Linked DNA regions of Coturnix japonica. The protein of the gene in region 1 interacts with the protein of each later gene in a pairwise test. Links are inferred from orthologs where the notes say so. Each region holds a gene or a part of one and is shown on either strand. Other genes may lie near its edges.

Evidence for each region.
Region 2: the proteins of SPDEF (region 1) and NKX3-1 interact in a two-hybrid assay, tested with the Homo sapiens proteins (2 studies listed by BioGRID). The link is inferred for Coturnix japonica from reciprocal best matches to the Homo sapiens genes SPDEF and NKX3-1.

What each region holds. Positions count from the first base shown.
Region 1 is NC_029541.1:4,214,029-4,218,389, forward strand, and holds the start of SPDEF (SAM pointed domain-containing Ets transcription factor), read left to right. Parts: upstream 1-1,430; 5' UTR 1,431-1,819; intron 1,820-4,009; 5' UTR 4,010-4,026; coding exon 4,027-4,345; intron 4,346-4,361. UniProt on the Homo sapiens protein: May function as an androgen-independent transactivator of the prostate-specific antigen (PSA) promoter. Binds to 5'-GGAT-3' DNA sequences. May play a role in the regulation of the prostate gland and/or prostate cancer development.
Region 2 is NC_029537.1:2,308,767-2,313,111, reverse strand, and holds the start of NKX3-1 (homeobox protein Nkx-3.1), read right to left. Parts: upstream 2,972-4,345; 5' UTR 2,831-2,971; coding exon 2,617-2,830; intron 1,141-2,616; coding exon 767-1,140; 3' UTR 1-766.

The DNA.
Region 1 (4,361 bases):
CGCAACCTGCTGCCATTGCACAACTCCGGGGTGACGCAGGCGGCTGCAGACGTGGGCTCCCATGTGGGGCAGCCCCATAGCAGGCCCTGTCCATAGGGACCCCACCTTCCCCATCACCCCCAGCCCTTTGGGATGCTGCTACAGAGCTGAGCCCCCTCTGCCCTGTGCCACCCCATTGCATCCCATTGCATCCTGTGCCACCCCATTGCATCCTGCTCCAGTTTGCTCCTGGCCTTGCTAATGAGTGATAATTCAACCTAATGAGCAAGGGAGTCCCCTGGTTGACATCCCAGCAAGGAGGGCAGGTGTTTTGTGCACGGCCTGTGCCTGCAGCCATCCCTTGTGCTGGTATCTGGATGGAGCTGTGATGGAGGGCAGTGATTTGCAGTTTGGGGCCGTACACCACCCAGGGAATGAGAAAGGGAATGGTGGCCACAGTGGTTCCCCAGCATTCGTGTGGGTGTGCGGCTCACCTGGAGGTTCTGCTCTGTATCTTAACTCCCCACGGCTGACACACCTTTGCTTCCGTGCATGAGGGCTGATAAAGCTCCCCACGCTTGGTTGGATGCGGGGTTTTGTGCTGGATCCATTTGGGGACCCACTTGTGGGCACAGCCCTGGGCAGCTCAGTGCACTGTGCAGCTTATAGGGATGCTCCCCCCATTTATGCCATGCCCCCACCCCACTGCCATGCCCCCATCCCTCCCACCTCCATCTCCCCCTGCCACGTGTTCCCAGCCCGGCTGTATTTCCCAAACCAGGAGCAGTGCTCACCTCGGGTGGCAGCAGCCCTAATCTGGGGGCAGTGTTTTCCATAGGATAAGATAACATTAAGGCTCTGACCGCCTTTCCGTGGGGTTTTATTTCCCTCTCTCCTCCCGGCTCACACCTGCGCTTATCGGTGAGCAGGAGGGGTGCGGAGCCCCCGTGTGCCATAGGATGCAATGGGGGGGAGGGGATGACAGTAACCTGGTGAGGGTTTGGGGCACTGTGTGGGGTTTGGTGCAGGGGAGGCTGGTTTTGTACATGAACTGCCCCAGCTGTGCTGCGTTCTTGACGTGTTCAGGGTGGCCATAAATACCAGCTCGGGGTCTGTCTCGGTCAGAACAGCTTTTTCCTGCTTATGCCGGTGCAGACAACCCAGACCTGGAGCACTGTGTGTCCCCACTGCGCCCCACACAGCAGCGATGTGGGGAGGAGAAGGAGCCCCAGCCCTGTGCTGATCCCAAACCATTTGGAGGTGCATCAGGTCCTGGTTTGTCCTGGGGGGCTCAGAGCAGCTCCGCTCCCCCAAAGTGCTGTGGGATGCTGCTGCAGTGCACCCAATGGGGCTCCATGCTTCACAAGAGCCTTCAGCTCCCACCCCACACATCTGCGGGTGTTTGGGTGGGAAGGGGTTGATGGGGGTTCGCTGCCCTATGGGGTCCCACGTGGGGCTGAGCCTGGCACCAAGCTGCACCCCATCAAGGGTTAACCCTGCTTGGGCTGTTCAAACACCTCCAGCTGAGGTAAGCACGCAGCCTGTTTGTTCAGGTAAATAAGGAAGGAATTGGATATAATGGGCTGAGGAGGCATTTGCTGAGCGTGTCCCCGTCTCACGCCTCCTCCATCCCACAGCCACTGCTCCCTGTGCCCCGTCTGTGTCCCCACCCCACACAGTGTCCCCTGGCAGCCCGTGAGCCGGGTGGGTGCTGGGGGCATCATCCCCACTGGGGCCCTGCACCTGGGGCCATGCCCACCCCGAGCACTGTGCTGAGCAGCGCAGGGTCAGCTCTTCCCACCCACTGCTGGGACCGATGCTGCTGCTGAGCCCCGTCAAGGTAAGAGCCACACAACCAGCCCTATGGACCCTCCTGGTGGTTGGGGATGGGTGTAGGGTTGTCTGCCATGGTCACCCCATCTCAGGGCAGCTGTGGGCACAGCCATCCCCTGCTGTGAGCTCCTTGGGGGGGTTATCACCCAAAAACAAGCGTGGTTTGCAAGACCCCAACGTGCTCTATGGAGATGGGGTGATTTGGGTTCACCATCAGAGCTGCTGGGTCCCGTAATGAAGGTGCTGTGTGCTCAGGGGCATCTCAGAACCCTGTCACCGGAGCAGCACCTTCTTAGGGCTGCTGTTTCCCTGGATTTCTGCTGTTTTCTCCCCGAGTGCTGGAGGCACGTTGGCTCCAGGTTGGATTTTTATGGTTCTGCTCGGTTAGTGAAACACAAACGCTGCTCGGCTGCCAAATCCCCCACAATACGGCTGTTCTGGCGGGCAGGGAACTGCCTGCTATAAATAGGGGCTCCCTGGCCCTACATGGGGAACACCAAGCTCCGCTGCTCACCTGGGGGACGCCGAGCACTGGGGCTTTGCTTGGGACACCATTGGGTTGTGCCCGTCCCCACCCCACTGCTCATAGTGCAGGGCTGGGGCAGCCTGACCCCGGCATTGGGACACAGCGCCCAGCTGTCAGCACCAATGCAGGTAATGGGGGGTCAGGGGAGGGGGGTGGCAACTTTGGGACCCCTGGGTGGGCTGTATCCCTGCTGTGCACTGGGTTTGTCTCCGTGTGGGGCTGCAACCCCATAGTGAGACCCTGATCTGTTGCGTTTCTGTATCTGCCCCACATCCCCAGCCTGGCTATGGGGTGTCTCAGGGCATAGTGTAGGGTTTGGGGACTCCCATATTGTGTGTTGTTTGCTGATGGAAGAAACTGGGGACAAACCCCAAATCCCTGATAATAGAAACAGGTTTGGGGGCAGAAAGGACTTTGCTGGGTCCTGTCCTGTCCGAGCTGTCGCTTTGGGGTTGGTGGGTGCAGGGTGTCCTGCTGGCAGTAGGGATGTGTGGGGCGGCTGTGGGTCTCAGTGCCTGGGGGGTGGTTGGGAAGCACCTGCCCGGCACAACCTGTTCCACCGCGGCTTAGCAGTAATTAACGGCCCCATTGTTCGAGGGTCGGGGAGGGGGGGGGGTTATTTCTGTTTAATTTCCCTTGTTTAAAGGCTGTTTGTGGAGGTGTCGCTGCTCCGGGGCACTGCGGTGTCCCCACGGCTCCCATCCCCGTTCCCCACATGGGGCTGACACCAGCACTGATGGGCCGTACCTTATGGCGCTGCCATAGGGACATATAGGACACAGCTCCAGTTTTCTAGGGAAAAACAACAAGGGAGAGAGAAGGGGGAAAAAAGGCACCCGAAGCTGCGAGCAAACAGGTCCCACCCAGGGAAGGCAAACAGCGGCCCCCGCCCTGCGAGCACAGAGCAGCTCAGCGGGTTGCAATGGGGCCACGTTCCCAAACGCCCCGATCCCCCCCGTGCCCATCTTAGGGCTGGCAGAGGGTTGGGGGCCGAGCAGCTGTCGCCGCGTCCCTTTGTGCCGCAGCAGCGTGGGGCTGCATGAAGGAGGATCCGCTAAAGCTCCTCTATTCATCCGCTGCAGATAAAGGGGAGGTTTGGGAGCCTGTGCCATCGCTCAGGGAAACTGATGATGGGGGGGGACCCCACTGCCAGGCTGAGGGGTTGCTGTGCAGCTCAGTGCTGCCCCTTCCCCTCGTCCCCGTTCCCCAGTTCCCTGTCCCAGTGGATGGAGCCGGTCCATGGGGTTGCTGCAGGAATCATTCAGCCTCATCCTCCTGAGCCCGCAGTGAACGGGGACGGAGCAATGGGAGCAGCTTTTGTTGTGGGAGAGTGAAGGGAAAGTTGTGATCCAGGGGTGGCCAAATCCATGTGGCCCAGGAGAGCCGTCCATCAGCTGACGCTCCCCATGCACATCACTGGGCCTGCAGGGTTTGTGCATCACACACACAGGGGCTATAGGGGCTCAGCCCCATCTGGGACCCCCCAGTGCCCCATATCCAGACTCCATCTCCCACCCCAAAACCGGGTCCATCCCCGGCACGACCCCAAGCCAACATTCCTCCGAGGGCTGCCCGGATGCTGTGCGTCTCTTTGTAGGATTTTCCCCCTCTAACAGGCTTAGTTAGCGCTGCTTTGTGCCTGAGCTTCTCCTCCCCCCCTCCCCATCCCAGGTCTGAGCACTGGCAGCATGGGCAGCCCCAGCCCCCCCAGCACCCCGTTCTGCCTGCACTACTTCGACATGCTCTACTCGGAGGACGTCGCATGGGCTGCCAAAGGGATGGGGGAGACGTCCCAGAGCGGCACCCCCGGGGGGAGAGGGGAGGTGAAGAAGGAGCCGGAGCAGTGTCCCATCATCGACAGCCAAGGTTTGGGGCTGGGGGGCGATGGGGAGCTGCAGGGGGGGCTGCCCTTGGAGGAGCACTCGCTGGAGCAGATGCAGAGCATGGTGGTGGGCGAAGTGCTGAAGGACATCGAGACGGCGTGCAAGCTGCTCAACATCGCTGCAGGTGGGTGCAGGCAGAA
Region 2 (4,345 bases), on another chromosome or scaffold:
ATTGTTCCCATTCCCAGCACCTGTTGGCACGGATTCCCTCTCTTCAATGGCATTGGTGGCATCAGGGAGCACCAACAGCAGCTCTGTGCCCACTGGGAACCTGTGGGCCTTTGTTGCTTGCAGCAATGTGGGGCTGAATGCCCCCTAAACCCAACACATATGGAATCCTTGGGGGAGATTTGCAATTGATGGATTGCAGGTGGAAATGCAGATATTTTTTGAGATGAAACAGCTGGTGTATGGGGTGAGCTGTTGTGCTTCACCCAATCAGTGATGGGGGGCAAAGAATTGGGGGTATAAGCAGAGGGATGGATGGGGGACTGTGTTTTTACAGGCACTCATCATATCTTGCTTTCTGCCCCCAAAACAGTGCCCTGTTTGATCACTGTTAGAAGCTTTGAGGATGTTTAGTTTGTAGGGCTTTTTGTTTCTCTGGCTAAAAGCCTGGCACTGAGAAAGGGTGGTGATGCAATGAGAGGGTGCTGAGCATCGCCTGGGATTCTTTGCTGCAGATTGAGCCTAGTAAAAGCTTCGGGGATTTATTATTGATAATAGTAATAATAATAATAGCAATAATAATAGTAATAATAATTATAATCTGGATCTTTAATTTTTGATCATTTCTGATTTCTTTGGCTAAAACTCTCACGATGACAGAGGCTGGAACTGCACAAGAGGACACTCGAAGTCGACATCTCTGAATCAACATGGCCAAGGGCACCATGGCATGAGGGGGGTGGGCTAAAAAACACACCATGCACAGCTCTCACCACACAGCAGGGCTCCAGTAACAGAGGCAGGGCAGGCAGCGAGCAGCCCCATGTAGTGCCAGCAGTGGGGCTGGGGGTAGAATAGATGCTTTATGAGTGGTCCCAACCTCCAGGCTGGAGCCCCCCGCTCTCCTCTTGGTCTTGTAGCGGCGGTTCTGGAACCAGATCTTCACCTGTGTCTCACTCAGCTGCAGGTTCTGGGCCAGGTGGGCACGTTCAGGGGCTGACAGGTACTTCTGGCGGCTGAAGTTCCTCTCCAGCTCCAACACTTGGCTGTGGGTGAAGGCTGCCCGTGAGCGCTTTGCTGGCCGGGGGGGTCTGGGCAGCACCTTCTGGGGTGGATCATGGCTGCATGGGGAGTTATCAGCATCTGTAAGGGGAGAGGGCTGAGCATCACACACTGAGAACTGCCCCAAACTCTGGGTTATTTGGGTTTTCATCACCCAAATCACTTTTTCTCTCAGTATTTTCACCATCCAGACTGCCTATTTCCTCACTTCTTTCTTTCTTATCCTCTCCATAGAGTGAAGCATTCAGAAGCCACTTTCCTCCTTGCTTTCTAGTTGCCCAGACCCCTTATCTCCTTACTTTTGCTCACCCAAATCATTTGTTTCCTCCATTTTCATCACCCAAGTCACTTGTTCTGTCATTACTCACATTTCTCCTTTTCCATTCACTTCCACAGAGCAAAATATTCACAAATCACGTTTTCTCCTTGCTTTTCATCACCCACATCACTTATTTCCTCTGTTTTCATCGCCCCAATCACTTGTTTTCTCATTTTCCCATCACCCAAACCTCTGATTTCCCTACTTATTTTTCCCCTTTCCTACCCCTTCCTATAGAGCAAAACCTCCCCACCACCCTGGAGATCCTCCAACACAGTGATTTCTCTGCTTGATAGACTTAATCTCATCCAAGGGAGCTATTTTCTCCCAAACAACCCCCTCTTTTAGCTCCTACAAGGAAAAAGCAACCCCCAAAAGGGCCATTTTTCATTGCTGGTGACATCTCGAGGCTCTGCTGTTGCATACAAGGTGCCATTGGGATTTTTACAGCATCACCTGTAAGCTGTGCAAACCTCTCCAGCCCTTTATTCACTTTTATATAGGAGCTTCTATTAACAGAAGCGACACAGAGAGCCCAGATTCCCCTTGCAAGGTCTCTCTTAGCAAGCTCAGCTTTGCTTATTGGATGTTGCAGCTCAGCTGCTCCCATTGCACAGCTCAAAGCTGCACTGCATCTGAGTTTTAATGCAATTGCATGCGATTTGCAGCACGCTGCTTCTGCAGGTTTAGCCACTGCATGCTAAAAGGAGGTGCTGCTGGGGTTGTTTCTATAGGAGTAAGGCTGATGTGCATAACACGCATTATATGCAATGCAATAGGTAGGAGCAGAGCGTTGCAACTGGTGCTGAGAACCAGCATATACACATAGTCTGCAGTGCAACAGGCAGGAGCAAAGCATTGCAGCTGGTGCTGAGCATGCAGGAAAACAAGCAGCAAGTGCAACAGTGAGCTGCAATCAATGCACTGTAAGTACAGCAGCAGCAGCACCCAACAGCTGCACCAAGGGTTGCATTTGCATTAAAAGGAATCTTAAGCTTGCTATTGCAGAAATGCATCCTCTAGGCTTTTTAATAACCAAAGTTGGAGGTTGCTCCTGTGCTTTGAGTTAGCTGAATTGCCTGCAGAATGCTTTGCATGCAGTTGCTGTTGCTCTCAATGCTCCTTGCATTTGAAGCCTGAGTAACTTGGGAATGCATGGGTTGTTTAGGTCAGAGGAATTCAAAGCTGAACCCTCATCCTGCTCTAAGGGTAAGTATCCCACAACACCCCCCCCTTACCTTCATTCACATCGTGGGGCTGTGCTGGGGACACTCCAGGGCCATCCTGCTGCTCTCCATCCTCTGGTATCCCACCTTGATCCATCTGTGCCCCATTTTCAACCCCATCCCATAGGATGTCCTGGATGAGGAAGGACGTCCGAGGTCTGGACGAGGTCTGCTGGGGGCTGCTGGAGGCTCTGTGCCCCCCAGGGCTCAGCACCCCAGTGCTCATCCTCTTCCTCCTCCAGCTGCCTGCAGGCTCAGTGCCTCCCCACCCTCCAGCTCAGCATTTATTGGGCCCATGGCCAAACCTCCAGGGCCTGATTGGAGACTGGGACGTGTCTACACCCTTTGCTGGTGTCCCAGCATTGCAGGATTTCTGCTGAAGCACAGCAAATCCCTTCTGCTGCCTTGCTCAGGACACCCATCCCCATTGAACCCTGCTGGGGTAACCCCATGGCTTTTATTCTCCTCTTAATTCTAAGAGCAAGATACCCAAAGGGTGTTCATCTTTTTGGGGTAAAAGCAGGGTTTGGGAGGTGTCAAAATAGGGTTGTTAGGATATGATGGTGCCACTTTGGATGGGTGCTGTGGGTGAGCAGAGCACCTTTTGCATCTCGACCCTAATCCCAGTGGGATGATGATCTGAATGCTGCACTTCTGGATGTGATTTATATCCAGGGCAATCCCTAGAGCTCAATGGGGAATGCAGACCCCAGTGGGGGTGAAATCAACCCCAAACCCCAGACTGATTCCCCACTGTTGTAGACCATGAGTTGCAGAGCAATACTGATGTGAAATCAATATAATGATGGTAATGCTCAGAGTAATTAAAACAAACAACCAAACAAGCAAACAACAGAGCAAAAAGCTCAAGAACAAAAACTCAATAGGTTTGCAGAATATTGTGTCATGAGGTTATGTGTTATTATATTGCATTCTGATGTAGGGCAGCCCTGGGTGAAGTAGGGAGTTGGACTCAATGAGCTTTGGGGTCCCTTCCAACATGGGTTGTTCTATGCCATGATGGTGTGATATTGCAGAACATGCATCTTTCCATTTGAAAACACATGAATGAAACCTGGGAACCACCCAGAATTTGGGCAATATCCCACTTTCCAGCAAGTCCTTTTATTCCAGTGATGCTCATTGCATTTTCCTGCAGCTGGACCATAAATCTCTGTGATGTTGGAGCTGCCCGTGTGCTCAACTCATCTGTCCATAGGTCTGTCCTCAATGCATGGCTCAGTCCTCTTTTCCTTTCAATGCTGACTGCAGAATAACCCATAACATTGGTCCAAAAGCATTGGTTTGGGGTTTTTCAGCTCCGGGGACCCCCTCATGGCCATTTATTGCATTACATTTTGACTGATTTGGGTTTTGTGGGAAGAGATCTGCCTCATTTTGAGGTGGGCAGTTTCTAATTTGGGCTGTGCCTGTAAGTCATTAAGAAATACGAATATCCCAAAAGACGAGAAGAACTCAAAGCCTTAAATAGAGTGCTCATGGAAAAGCAAAGGCGCAGTGGTGTGCATAGACCCTGTTCCCTTAGCAAGAAAAGCAGCATCTGATCCTTATGCATCCCACAGGGGCATCCCTATGGGGTGGGATGGGCTCCATGATTATGTCCTAATAAATAAACGTCCCTGGCACTGGGGTCCCCAAATCCTCAGCACCAAAAGTTCCTTTCCTTGGGCTGGATGGTGAGGATGGATGTGCCACATCCTGCTGTCCATTACGGCTTTGG